2 linked regions of the Struthio camelus genome follow. The protein of the gene in region 2 interacts with the protein of the main gene of each other region in a pairwise test. Links are inferred from orthologs where the notes say so. Each region holds a gene or a part of one and is shown on either strand. Other genes may lie near its edges.

Region 1 (7,006 bases), on a different chromosome or scaffold from region 2:
TTAAAAAAAGTCAGCCTCAGGAGCTACAAAAGGAAAAAAATATCCAGGGGGAGGTACTAATACAATAAATATTCAAGGAGATTCAGAGTTTCAAGCAGCTGACAGGAATAAACAGCAACTCCAGCAAGTTCCCAAGAGACATCCACCTGGATAACACCTCCAAGACACCTAGGGCAAACAATAGGGATATTTTTACTGTGAAGTTATTGAATTTTAGTCATTAGTGCAGATACACCCAAGTCAGTTTCACCTCCCAGTACTGCACTGCAAAGCTCCTAGGAGTGCTCCTGGAGCGCTGTGTTGTACAGCATGGGCTACAAAACCATCTGGGAACCTGCATAAATATTTTTATCTCCTGTTTATCTGGCTACAACACTGGCAATGCAATCTCTTTCAAAGTGAACCTATCTGCTCACATGATCTGCAGACACAGCAATGTGCTACAAGTTCAAACTGTTCAGACATTCTAGGTTAAAAGTACATTGTTTGGCCACTTTGTGGACCAGTTTGTGCTGGGCATCCAGTGTGGGAAAACCAGCGAACCTCATCTCCAATTCCTCCTTTTAGCACACAGACCTAGAACGTGGGGTTTGTCACATGCATATGGCTTGGCATTTTAATAGGAATTCAAAGTCAGATGATTACCTGCTTGTCACTTCTTCTGCATGTATCATCTTCCTGCTTGCTGTTGTGGCAGTGACGTTACTGTTATTATTGAATAAGTGGAGACAGTTGGGAATTCAGTGCCTGACAGGGAGGAAGCAGGAAGTGGGAGGAGTGAGTCTTGTGGCTGCACATCTAGGGCTGCATCTTCATGGCAGAAACAGTTCCGTAAGGAGATTTGTGATCCCAACACAGGATTTGTTGGGGAGGAAGAGCCACCTGGCAATGCTCTCACTGGCTATACCAGAGCAGGGAAGAACACCAAAGCTCCTCCCTGGTTTGTCAACAAAATTTCAAACAAGAGCCTTGTCCAACTGCTCTGTATATAGTCCTGTAGTGGGACACAGCAATTACAGCAGGACAACAGGAGAACTGATTTGTTAAAATGGACAGAATAGGTTGGCAGTCTGCGTGAAATAGGCTGGAAAAATTCCGTTCTCTTGTGTCCTTGAGGAAAAGGCATCTACACCATTACACACCTTCAATACACTTGCCAACTTTTGTGCTGCATGCAATTAGGAGGCAAGGAGGAGGACAAACACGGGTAGTACAGAAAGGTGCTGCGCCATGAAACTAGAATTTTCCCCAGGTGTAACCCCTGGTCTTTCTTCAGTCTAGGCCTTGCTATGGTACTGCACAAAAATGATCCCTTGTTTCTGACTCACCATTCTGAGATCCTCTGACACTACCTGCAGCCACGGGGAAGTATTCACATGTCTTGGGACAGACAGAAACAAGCTGATGATGCTTCCTGTACTAATAATGTGCATATGAACTAGTGAAGGCTGAGACACACTGATCTATGCCATTCCCACTGCACTGCAGTACCATTAAGAGGTGCTGGTACGTGCCTATTGGAATAGATTGTTGTGCTATGCAGAAAGTCACATTATACAGTGTGGAGCAGTAAAAACTTAGACACAAAAGCCTCTGCCAGAGTCCGTGAGGGGTACACGAACATCCGAAAGTAGATGTCTATATTCAGGAGAGAAAAATCACAACCCATGCCTATTTATCTCCGTTGACTCTAAAGGCAACTTAAGATGACAAGCTCAGCTGTATGCACCCATGCTGTTAAGTGTAGGTGAGATTTCTGATTCACTTTCTCATGCCAGACAAGAGTACCTGGAAACTGCCACCATCTGAACGTACCTGCATCAAAGAAAATTTATTTCCGCCACACCTATCTTACCCATATGCAAAATCAAGGAGATTAGGGTGCAACAGGGCTTGGAGAAAGAAAACTATCAAAGGACCTCTGAGTTCAGGCTCAGAGGCTGCCTGCTTTTGAAAGCAAAAGTGGATAGTATATGACACAACTCTCTACAAGGCAGAGGGGACAGACTAATATCCTGGATATGCTGTGGAAATTTGTAACAGGCTCCTTCCTAACCCTGGTGTCAGCATCTCAGTTGCACCCTGCAGGCAACTCAGGTGTGCATATTAGTAATATAGAGATACAGCCACCAGTAGTGTCTGAACTATGAGTTACTTGGGGCAACTAAAGGATTTATGTGAGTACCTCTAGAAAAAGACCAGAGTTTTATGCACCCTTGACTCTGTTTTTATCACTAAGGAACATCTTTGATCCAGCTACTGCTTACTCTTCAATTTCTTTCTTTTTTTTTGTTTTTTTGTGCTTCCAGAATCAAGCTGACTCTTCACTTTAGTCTGGATTTCTTCTGCATTGATCACGCGCTAGAAAGAGGGTGCCTGCAAAATAGCAACGTTTTTTCTTATCCTGGTTAATTCTGATGCAACACATTGGCAGAACGTTGAATGAGATATGGGGAACCCAGGTTCTCTCACTTATGCCACTGGTGTAGCCTTGGACACATCAAGCATTCAAGGCAGTTCATTGTCCTGCTCAGCACCTCCTACTTCAATTAAAATTACTACACAAATAAAAGATAATCCTTGAAAAAGTTCTGCTCCTCTGCATGAGGCATGAATTGAGAGACTTAGAACATTTTGATATGCTCCCATTCAGTTGTTCATTTTCCCCAGGATAGCAGCAATTAATTTTTGTACTGATTTGAGCATGGTGATCCATTCATTAGTACCTTCCTTTCTTCTAGTCACTAAATACTGTGAGCCTAACTGCCCCCCAAAAACCCAAAGATATTCCAAATATGTTATCTGTTGAGTAACTGGGCTAAAATTGCCCCACTGCTTTGGCTTGTTTGCAAACAGTTCACTTTAACTGTGTGCTGTTTGTAATGTGCCTCTGGTCAGGTGCATTACACATCACACTTTCCGCCCCTTATTATTTAACTGAAACTTCATAAACAGGAGAATAATCCAGACCCAATAATGACAATGTTAGTCACTAAAACTTGTATTTTTTTCCTCTTAGATCTGGCAGCCACTTAAATAGGTCAGTCTCGTCACCTCTGTTTTAAATAAGTGGAAGCAGAGGCATTCAAGCATTACTTGGGGAAACTGAGGCCTGGGGACATGCAGCAGCTGATCCAGGCCAGAGCCCTGCAAGCCATGCTCCACAGCCCCACTGCCCACCTTCACGGCCATCAAAGGGAAATTCTCCGAATTTGCCCTGTTCTTAAGATAGGTCGGGGGTTGTCCAAGTGCCAATGAATTACAGATCCGCTAGCTGCTGTGAGCCTTGCCGTGCAGCTCTTTTTGTGACAGCGCTCCCCGGGCTGTGTGCCTGCCCACTCTGCTCCCAGGGCAGGGAGCCCCCGGCCAGGGCAGCTGTCCCTTCATGGGCCTTGTACACCACGGTGTGTTAAACAGCACTGGCAAGGAGGGAGAAGCAGCATGGCTGCCTGCAACCCGCAGAGATGGATATCTCCGTTCATGCGGCTGCTCGGCTGTATTCATAACCCCTGAGTCATGCTGGAGATAGTGACACTGCTCAATTATAGGCTCATTTTGCCTTTGTATTGTGTTTGGTGGGGGGAGGGGGAATGAGGCGACAACCAGTACAGTACAGTAAAAAATATATATATATAATAATAACAATGATTAAAAAAAACCACAACCCTGCATGGCACGGAGTGTGACACAAGCCCTGCGCAAGAGAGGGAGCAAGAGCTGCAGCTGTCACCTGCTCCCAAGCGAAAGCAGGCCCCAACTCTGCCCGCTGCCTTGCACGGCGCTGACCCCTTGCCCCGCGCCCCGCGGCTGCCCGCGCTGCAGGGCGCGGACACCGCCGTGCCCTTGTCCTGCCGCACTGTTATGATTTTGCCGCATGCCGCCCTCCCCCCGCCAAGGCAGTGGTTTCGCCCGGGAGCCCTTTGTAGCGAGGGCGTCGCCCACGAGCTGATGGGGGGGTACCCTGCGCGCCCCCTACCCGCCGTGGGGCGCGGGCCAGCCCCTGCTCCCGCCCGCGGGAGCCTGGCGCTGCCGCGGGGGCGCCGGAGGGACGGGCCGGTAGAGACCGCCGTCGTCGGCCCCGCACGCTGCGGCAGCCGCTCCTCCTCCCCCCCCCCTCGGGTGCAGTGGAACCGTCTGGAATGACGGCAGAGGTGCCTCCCTGTGACGTCACAATGCCCGATTTGCCCCAGCGCTGTTTCTGTGTTCCAGGGCGGCCGCGTCCTGCCGCAGGTGGGCGCGGCGCGGCGCGGGGGTCGCAGCGGCCGCGCAAGCTCCGCACGGCTCCGTGGCCCGCTGCGTTGCGAAGTGCCCAGTCGTAGCTCACGAAGCGGCAGCAGCCCTCGGAGGGGCAGCTGACGCTTGGGCAGTACACCAGCATGAAGTTCCAGTACAAAGAAGACCATCCTTTCGAGTACAGGAAAAAGGAAGGGGAGAAAATCAGAAAGAAATATCCCGACAGAGTCCCTGTGAGTGCGGTGTGTGAATGTATACTCGGACAGCAGCAGGGGATTGCAAGATTGCTGCTTGCGGGGCTTGCCTTACATGTCATGCTGCCATTCTGCCTCTCTTTGTTCTCATTATCAATTGTTGTCCTTTTTTCCCCCCCCTTTATTAAAGGGAAAGCAAATTAGATTAGTAAGCATGATGTTTACCTTGCTGTTCTAAATCCAGCCTGCTTTTCTCTTTAGTGCAAACCTATGATTATTTTTTATGTTGGTCTCTATTAGCAGTAGGTATGAGGATGGCAGGGTGTAATATACCCTCCCTCTTTCAGGAATCTGCAGCAATTTGACAGCTCGAATGCTGCTAATCTTTCTATGGCAGCCTGTGTGCATGGGGCTGGGGGGTGGGGAAGGAGCTTATCATCTGCTCTGTGAAAATGGAGGAGAACAACGAGTTTACCATGTACTCTTCATAGAAAACTAGAGCTGTATCCATGTTGTCAGATATGTTCCCTTTATTTTTTATTTTACTTTCTTTTGGCCTGTCTTTTCAGTATAGTCTTGTTCTGTTCTTGTGCTTTACATGAGAGAAAAACGACACTAATTTCTTAGCCTTCTGCCCTCCTGTTTAACCTTCTTATGGAAAAAGCATCACTTAGGAAACAAGGTTTTGATCTCTTAGCCAAACTTTACTTCCTCCTCCTTAGGTCCCTTTGGAATGCCTGTGGAAGGCTTCTAGTTTTATAATTACTGGTAATAATTGGAAAAAAAGAAATGATATATCAAATTAATTGTGTGGGTTTTTTTTTCCTATTAAATGTTTTGCAAATGTTCTTTCTTTCCATCCCCACTGGAGAGATCTGTCCTAGATTTACTGTCCGGGGTACTGAACTGAGACTCCCCTGTGAATCTAAGCCTAAGGGAAAACAGTTATGCTACATGTTTTCCGGAGAGACCAGCACCATTTTGTATCTTAGAGTGGCCTACAGCTGGGCTTGTAAAAATGCTGGAAAGTCAGAATTTGGGTGCATTTGGCTGAGCTGCAAATTCAGGGACCCTTGGCCTAGCATAGCACGTTGAGAATACAGCTAGACAATGATGAAGTGGACACTCTTGCGAGTTTTAAGATGAGGACCACAGAAAATGCTCTAGGTCAGAAGTGAGATAAACTATAAACTGAAGATTAGCATGGCAGTTTGTGCTCCAGATCCTGAGAGATGTGTCCAGAAAAGCCATATGTGGGGAGCCAAGGACCAGACCTGGTCTGGCAAGAGGTAAACGAGATCAAGGTAGAGGGGCATGAGCAGAACTGTAGGGAAGAAACTGGGACCCAAAGAGCAAGGTGTGCTGCAGTTAAGGATAAATGAGAAAATCTGCATGGGGAGGCCCAGATGTGGATTATGAGGGGGAAGCCTGTTGAGAGAGCTGCATATGGAACAGATGAATGCAGCTGACAGGGTTCTTTGCATCACATGTCTCTGCCCTTCCTGACAGCAGGATCCTTGAAGACGACATCCCTTTGGCTGCCTACATGGTAGTGCCCTGATGCATCTCAGCGTTTTGCTGAGATTATAATGTTGGCACAGTCCCATGTTACCGCTGACACCACCCAGCAACAACAAATATGCAGATAATCTGTTGCTACACTTTGGATTTTCTTTGTCGGGGTAGGGGGGGAGGGGGTGTGTGCATGCATGGGTGCGTGAAGGTTTTAGTACTTCAGAAAGAGATACCTGTGTTACCAGGCAAACTAACTGCTGTTGATAATCAGTTTAGCAAAGCACCTTCTTTCCTGCTCTGCTTCTTTGCAAGAGGGAGACTTGTTAAGCTCAGTGATTATCTAATTTGAATGCTTCCTGGGGATTTAGAAGCCCCAGCATTCTCCCTTCTTCCTCACAGGCACGATATACCTTTGGATTTCACCACCATCTTCTTTTCCTTTATTATCTAACAACCAATTACGATCTATCCTGTTGGGTCAGGATGGGCATATCACTGCTGCTGGCTAACAGTTCTACGTGTCTGCAGTTTTGGTAATTGTGAAGAAAGAAAGGTTTCTTTTCATTGCAATTTATTGTGTTAGATAATGCCTTGTAGTATGTGTGGGTAAAAGAACCTGCAAAGTGCTATTGCTGTTGAGCCGACATCTATTCAGTGAGATCTTGAAACTATCCTTCCTTCACAGCATTGTCCTATGTCAATTGCCTCTGCATAGAAATACATATCCTATCACAACGTATCTCAGAGAGCTTGAATGACTTGTACTAATCGAGGTGCTTGAAAAATCAGGTTCTTGAAAAGGCAGTGATGGCCATACTTCTATTTTAAAAACAAATTTAAATTTTCAGGACTTTGGGCCATGTTGAAAGCATCCAAATGAGGCACAGTGAAGAGATGGCCAAGTTAGTATCTCTATGGTGAGGCATTCTTTGCAGATACTCACTTGGTGTAGATAGAGTAGACCTGGATTATTATGGCACTTTGCCCAGGCTAAAACAGGCCCATCATCATAACACAGGAAACGCCATCTGAACATGAGAAAATGCTTCTTCACTATGAGGGTG
Region 2 (8,002 bases):
GAAAAAAAAAACTTGCAAACATCATAAACAAGAAATGAAACACTCCCCCAGACCTGGGTCTCCAGTGCACACATATTAATTACACACCAGAGAGTAAAGCCTCAGTATGTGCAAGCATTTAATTCACTATTTGCATTTATTAAAAACATTCCTCTTCGCTTTAACAATACAGTAACCCAGCAGTGAAATAACAGCAATTCAAATGTGGTCATTTACAGACATGAGGTTTCTTATGCCCATTGTACAGTGCAATGTTGCCAAGTCTCACACCTTAGGAGTAAGCTCTTGCGCTCTCCTCTCTGTGTCACACATATGCATGCACACACATACAAAATTTACATGTCTGCTCTCACCTATACTCTTTTGGGAAAAGCCACAAATTTCATCAATCTCACTCATACAGATTTAAAAATCCTGGCAGCTTTTGAATAGCTTTTCTTCATCAGTTGCAATTAAGTGCTGGAAAAGAAATCCAAAATATACAGAGAGAGGCTTTCGCCCTAATAGTAAATGTTACCAATAGCGTGCAATTTCTAGTATGTTCCAAAGGTTTGCCACTCCATCTTTCTGAAAGGCAAAGTCTGTATGCCCCGTGATTAGATTTCCGTAAATGCTGAGCAATTCAGGGTTGTCAGCCATAATATAAAACATTATTTATAACTGTTTAACTGTTTCAAGAGTATAGTTAATAGTTTTCTGTAACGTGATCTTAAAGAAGTTGATTAAGTGTGCTTTACAACGTGACCAGAAAGAGCTTCCGATTAGTGACATAGTGATACATATATTTTACATCTCACATGGCCCATACTTTTAAAAGTTGGGAGTGTTGAAATAGGAGTTGAACCAAAATGAAATCAAATCATTAGAACTTGAGCATTTCCTTACCACACTTCATCAATATCATCATGTCATGCCAATACACTGAATATCTACAACATAAAGCACCTTTCTCAGGTACTAAAAATCATAAATATGTAATTTGTCTGTCACTCATACAAAGCAGAGATGGGCCTCAGGGGAAGAACTGAGGTCTGGAACCAAAACTCCTCATGGCTTTGGTTCAGGCCATAATATAGTTAGTAAACAGAAATAATATTAGGATCTGAATCTGAGCACATGTTCAAATACACCCAAGGTTAAACAGACGTGATGGGGCCCCATTTCTAATTTGAAGGCTATAAATTACTAAAGGAGCTCATATTTTTAAAAAGATACTGAAATTACGCAAAAAGTAAACGATTTCCAAATATTCAAAAAAGTCTGTTCCCCAAGAGGCTGTAACATGCCTTACACTTCCTTTGGCCATTCTGTTTAGTGTAGTTTTTATTCGTCACTTATCTCACGCCTGAGAAGGGACTTGTGCAGATTTCATGCGGACAAAGGAAGACTGAATGTAATTACAAAGCAGAGGGATTTTTACACTCTGTAAGTACCAGCCTGAATTTCAAACCTCTTCAGAATCTAGTAATGTTCAAATTCAATAACTGGATTCACATACATTTTTACCTTATTTAGTGTTTCTGTCAAAACCACAATTATCAACTTGCCATTGTTTTTCTGTCCTCATATTTACACGCTTAAGAAATGTAGACACTTAAGAGAAGAGTTCTACCAGCTTTGTATTTCCAAATAAATACTCTGGTGAGATATTTTTCATCAACAATATAAGACAGATATTCTTTAGTAATTGTATATTTATGTAAATAAAAAGAGAGAAAACTGGGGTTTTTTTCAGCCTTAAGAGGAGAAGGCTATAGGGAGATCTTTTTGCCACCTACAGGTAAGTGAAGGATGTATAAAAGATGGAGCCAAACACTTTTCAGAGGTGCACAGAGAAAGAACAAACGGTAACAGATAAAATTGGAATGCAGGAAATTTACAGTTACATATTATATTATATATTACATATTATACATCATATTATATATTACAAATATATTACACATATGTTATAATATTATATATTACAAAAATATACAATTTTTTTTTTTTTTTTTTTACAATTAGAGTTGTCAAACACTGGAACAGGTTCTCTAAGCAGCTGTCAAATCTTCACCCTTGGAGATGCTAAAAACTTGTCTGGCCAAGGCCCCAAGCAACCAGCTCTAATAAAGTTCTGCTTTGGAGGTCACTTCCAAACTTCATGGTTCTGATTCTATGACATACATGCGGCTAATTGTATCAAAAGATACTTGACATTCACTGATTTTGCCTTTCAAAAAATCAAAATATTGGCCAAACACTGATTCTACATGCTTAGAGTACAATTCTGATATACATGATAAACATATGATTTGGTGAAAAATACCGGCTTGATCGACAACCCCCTCCTCCTGTGTTCTCATTTAAATCAGTGGGGCTGAAAAGGTGAAAGTCAAGCCAGAATCTGAGATAGGATTAACACCATCATGCCTGTAACAAGCTTTTCTAATTGAATTAGTGTATTAGTATTAGCCACCCACATGACTCACCAGAAATGTTGATATCAAACTTACAATACTAAGTATTTTGCAGCAAATGTAGGCAAAGACAATAACAATGTTTTGCTACTCAAGAGCAAGCTTTCCAAAATATTTATGTCACATGGATGAATTTCAGGAGATAGTATCTAATCTTCCTTGCCTAGAAAATTCAGACTGATTAAGGCATTTAACCATTAATTCTAAGACCAAGTACAAGTTTCACCAGTGCCAAGCACAATTTTCTCAGTCCAAACCTTTGTTTGTACCAGTACAGACACACTGACTGTTGATCTCGGAGTCACAGTGCACAGCTTGTCAATGTGGGTGAAGTCCTTCATATCTCAAAGCAGGACGAACAAAATAAGAAAAGGCTCTGAACACTCTCTATATAGGATATTTATGAATTCTAGAGGGTGAGGCTGGTATCTAAACTTAGGATACAAATATGTAAATAAGAATGCTAATTAACTCATTTAATTATTTCAGTAAAAAATCTGCTTAATTTGAATAACAGAAGGACCAGTTTTAGACTTACACAATCAAGATACAGAGTTAAAGAAATTACATATTTTTCTGAAAGCTGTGGCTGTAAGTACAAGCAAAGCCAGGATTATTCCTGATCTATTTTTCCTTAATTAGTTTACATTGTACATGTGACAACAGGCATATATAGTTTGTTTTGCCTCCTTATACATGCATTTAGCAATGGAAATAACTTAATACTGAATTATTACTAAACAATATCTCTTTTGGCTGAATGAACATTTACGAACTGAGTACAGAAATACATGAGGATTCTTTAGAAACTCAGAACTGAGGATAAAGTTTTTTTATTAGGAAATGGAGGGGTTTTCCAGGCATTCACTGTAAAAATTACGCTAGTTGCCAAAGAACATCTTTATTTCAAACTACCCATTATATTCCCATAAACTAGCATCATAATGACGTTAAGTGAAAGCAAAACTGCTTGCTAGTGTCATCAACGTTTACACTACCCAGCTAGTGACTGTAAAACCTCCTTTCTTTCCGCATTCCAGACCACAGAACAGTGCCTTGAGACTCTTTAACAGCCCTGTATCACATGTGATACAGGGCAAAGAGCAGTGAGGAGAAAAAATGGAGGACAGAGATAAGAAAAAATAGGTCTCCCCACCTATTTATTGCTTTTCTGATTAACGCATCAGCTTCATTTTCCATTACAAACATCCATCTGGCCTTAAAGGAGAAGACTACCTCCTATACACCTCTCGTGTCTTATAAAAGGATCTGCAAGTAAAATGCAAGGCATTTACTGGTTTCCATGGATAGTGGAATATACGTTTACTGTAAGAATTATGAATTATATATAAAAATCAAAGGGTTACTTACATAATAACCTGTGGTAGAAGTGAAGTCCTAAGAATAATATTTTAATATTGCTTCCAGTGACAAGAAGTGCTAAACAGAAGCAAAAAAAAGATTCATTTTGATTACTTGAAATGACAATTTTAGTGGTCCAGTTTATTTTTGTTTCCGTTAGGACTGACCATGAGAAAGCTATGAAAATCTATGACCATGAAAAACTTGCCAAAAAATAAGGCCTATGGTAAGCCAATAATTTTGTCATAATATGCCTCTCAAAATAAGCTGTTGAGAACATACATGAAAATACAGAAGAAAGAGCGGATCGTAAGGAGGCAAAGGTTTTAAAGACAACTTTCAGTAATGATCCACGTTCAGGGTACTGCAGGAAGTCCAGAATACTGATGATTACAGATAAGTATTTGTTGTCACTCAGCCTCGTTCTTCTGATACACGATCTAACGCTCGACTTTGGATAAAAATCAAGTAGACTCAGTGTATTTATTAGATAATGTACTTTAATGGAGATACGCCAATTTACGCAAGCAGAAGAACTGCATATACTGTAAGTATTTAATATCACTCTTATCTCACTCCTTGGTTGGTTTGGGAAGACCTGCAAAAGCTGGGAGATTAATAGTAGTGACTTATGAGGTGCAAGCACGCGTGTTTTGGATGGAAAAAGAGGTGATAAAATTAGGGTATGTGAGTATTATAGAATGGTCTAAGCAATGGTCTAAGAACTAATATGCAGAGAACTTTTGCAGGGGGCAGGTGCATTTTATGGAAGTAACAGCTGCACAGTTTTGCATATGCTAGGAATACCAGCTTGGCTAGGCTTTCTCACCCCTCTCCTTCCCTGAAGTACGCGCACCGTCTTGCATAACGAAGCAAGCTGTGCAACATGCTTTTTACGTGTGGTGTAAGCCACGGCTCCAGTGCCAGCTGGGCTGACGCTGGCAGGCTGGATACCTAGGGGCTGAACGGGAATGGTAAAGGGCGGGAGTGCCCTGAGATGTGGTGTCCAGGACGTGGCGGGGGGAAGAATCCTTGGAGAAACAGACCTGGGTGTTGCAGCGCCGGGCCGACGTGCGAGAAGCCTCATGACGACGCTAACCGCCGCCGCCCTCCGTCCCCGGGCGGGCCGGCCCGGGCCGGACCTCCGAGCAGCCCTTCCGACGCCCGCCGCCCCACGCCGGCTCCAGCCGGTTCCCGCTAACGGCCCGCCCCGCGGAGGGGGAGGGGCGGGGTTGGAAGTGACGCGAGCGGGAGGGCGGGGTCGTGAGGCGTCGATGGCGGAGGCCCCATGTTGATGTCCCCGGCGTCCTCCGCGCCTGCCTAGGTAAGGGGCCCTCTGCGGCCGGGGGGAGGAGGGGGGGACGACGACGAACGGGTCCGGCGCCTTCTTTCTCTCCTGCTTTCCTCCTCTTCCTCCTGCCGCGGGGGCGGGCGCGCTGTTAAACCCAGGGCTTCTGTTCTGCGCCATCTGGGTGCCTCTCTTCCTCCCCCCCCGCCCAGCTGCCTTGGACGGCTGGTAGTAGTGTGGGGGAGAGAGGAGCCGCGGCCGTTGGGGAGGGCGGCGCGAGGGGCGCGGCGGGGCAGGGGCGGCCGTTGGCCCCCGCCGCGGCAGCTGCGCAGGCGGTGCCGGAGGCTTTGCGGAGGCCGAGGGCGAAGGTGATTCGGGCCGGACAGGCGAGGCCGCGCGGGCGGCCGGCGGGGCAGGCAGGTAGGCCCGCGGAGTGGGAGGGAGGGCCCGGCAGGTAGGGGCCGGCGGAGTCAGGTGCGCCGCTGGCCGGGCCGTGCGGCTCGTCTTGTTTTCGTGTTTCCTGCCAGACAAGCTTGTCCTCCTTCGGTGCTTTTCGGCGTGTTAAAAGCGGAACGCCTCTTTCGGCCTCTCGGTGAGAATGGCTTGTCACGTCAGTAATAAAGCCTAAACGTAGCTCTTCCTCCTCCTCCTCCTCCTCCCCCCCCGGCTTTTCTCACACCGGTAGCTGTGAGCTAACTAAGCAAGCACCGAACATCCCCTAAGCTATTCTTGAACTGTTAGTGGATATCGGCTTCACCTAAGCTCCGAGGATTTTGCTGCTGGTGGACAGTAATCCCAGGTGATTCTGCTGGTCAGCACAAGTTCAAATTCGTAGTTCTGCTTTGGACTTGGAAAACAGATTCCCTTTATTAATGGTTTCAATAAAGATAATGCTCAGCTGTGGTAGCTGGCTGACCAGTATGCAGAAATGAATGCTTTGGGTTTTTTGTAATGTTTTCTTGTAATAAACTTCCCGGTATTTGAAATAGACCTATTTCAAAAAATGTTGAATTCCATTGCTTTTGTTATTAATGCTTTGCTTATTTTTTAACTTATCCTAGGTAACAAAAAACGGATACAGTCTGTTTCATGTCATTATTATTTAGCTTCAGAGACTACTAAATTATTAAAAATGAATGGGTTTATTACACTTGAAAAAAATAGTGACTATTCTGTTTTTTGGGGGGAGGGTTGTAAAAAACAGTTTTTTCTAAAGTTTATGGTTTGGAATGTTTTTGAGAGGTGTCTTGGATATAACTTTCTGATTGGGGGGGAGTGGGAATTTTCAGAGTTGTGCTAAGCTGTAGAACTTGCTACGCTTCTCTGTACCCTGGGGCTCTATAACAGACTGGATTTACGTGTATTCCCAAAAGATGTACTTCTTTATTGTCTCTAAAAAAGTTTTGTCTTTTCATATTTATTCGGATTCTTGTTTGTGTAAGTTTTTATCTTTGTCTAGTCTTTATGTCTGTTAATTTTTACTAGTAAGGCATTTTACATTTTTTTACTTGTGTTGTTCAGGGTACAAAACTGCTTTTTATTTAACATCCAATATACCAAAATAATGCTATGGCTGTCCATATGTACTACGTGTGTTACACTAAATGGGATGGTAAGAGGCTTAAAACACTGAGGGCTTAACTTAAGAGGTAAACAGAGATTTTTTTCTACTTGTTCAGACAGATGAGTATTTTTTTATTCCAGAGTGCATTTTATTTCAGAAAATGTGAGCTTTTCTTATTTCTTCACTGTTGCAAAGAAATTTTAAAAGGCTCTAGGAAATATACAGACAGTTCTTAATTGAGACTTGAAGTGGCCCATCCCTCTTTGGGATTGATTTCGTCATATATCTTCAAAAAATATTATCTCACACACTTGGCAGTAATCTCATTCAGGGTACATATTTGCTTGATCAGCATGAATTTATTTTTAATAGCGGTTGCAAGAACAAAGCAGCTCTTTTGGCCAGAAATGTAGTGTTAAATATATAAGGCCCTAATCCTCCTAATACCAGATGTTTTGACAAACTTATGATTGTAGACTGAAATCAGACAGTTGAAACTTAACCAGTTGTCCATCTTATCTTTTTGACAGAGGTGGCCGAATCTAAGGAAGGGAAGTTCTTGGTCTGTTTATGAAGCATCTCTTGCATTACTGTAGTTTTTTAGGGTAGTGTAACCTGAATGAGGTGGTGAATGTGATAAATGCTTCTACGATCTGGTTGAATTCAGTGTTAATCCATCCAACTTGCATATGCACCTGAATGTTCCCACTATCATCAAGTTCACTGTTTATGGCAGTAAAATTAAAAATGCAGGGCTAGGGGCGTATGTGTTAAAGCACAGTACAAGATGCCCACAGACTTCTATTTTCCTGAAGAGAGTAAACTCTTTGTCTAAACAGTTTTTTTTTTTTTAAATAAACTTTCTTGTTTGTTAAAAATGTCTTAAAATGAAAAATTGTTAGTTTTGCTGAGAGAAAAAAATATTTATACGTAAAAATGCTGTCAAAAGCATTAAGTAGCACAAATTCTGGGAAGAGTTTTAAAGTAAGGAAAATTATGGAACTTTGTTTCTCCTTCCCAGCAAGATTCAGAAACATTAAGTTTATTTCATGCAAGTCAGAACCCTTCTTGATTTTTTTCCTATCACTGCTTTTGCTCCCTACTTTCTGCTGCTGTTTCTGAGGTATAGTGTTGGGGGCATTCAGCCCAGGGATGTCTTTTCTGTGATGACACCAATATGAAGAGATGGCTACTCTTTCATTATGAGAAGTGATTGTTTTGGAGTGATGCTGAGGCAGTGTGCTTGGGAGACCTTGACCTATTGCTGTCTGGTTTTGGAACAGCAGAATTAGTTCTTAAACTTCTGTCTTGTACATTTCAAACAGATTA

The links.
Region 1: the proteins of TAX1BP1 (region 2) and GABARAPL1 interact in binary tests that used the Homo sapiens proteins (3 or more experiments, as listed by UniProt). The link is inferred for Struthio camelus from reciprocal best matches to the Homo sapiens genes TAX1BP1 and GABARAPL1.

What each region holds. Positions count from the first base shown.
Region 1 is NC_090942.1:89,401,298-89,408,303, forward strand, and holds the start of GABARAPL1 (gamma-aminobutyric acid receptor-associated protein-like 1), read left to right. Parts: upstream 1-3,983; 5' UTR 3,984-4,376; coding exon 4,377-4,466; intron 4,467-7,006. UniProt on the Homo sapiens protein: Ubiquitin-like modifier that increases cell-surface expression of kappa-type opioid receptor through facilitating anterograde intracellular trafficking of the receptor. Involved in formation of autophagosomal vacuoles.
Region 2 is NC_090943.1:39,461,960-39,469,961, forward strand, and holds the start of TAX1BP1 (tax1-binding protein 1), read left to right. Parts: upstream 1-4,980; 5' UTR 4,981-5,145; intron 5,146-5,167; exon of another isoform or gene 5,168-5,529; intron 5,530-5,580; exon of another isoform or gene 5,581-5,701; intron 5,702-8,002.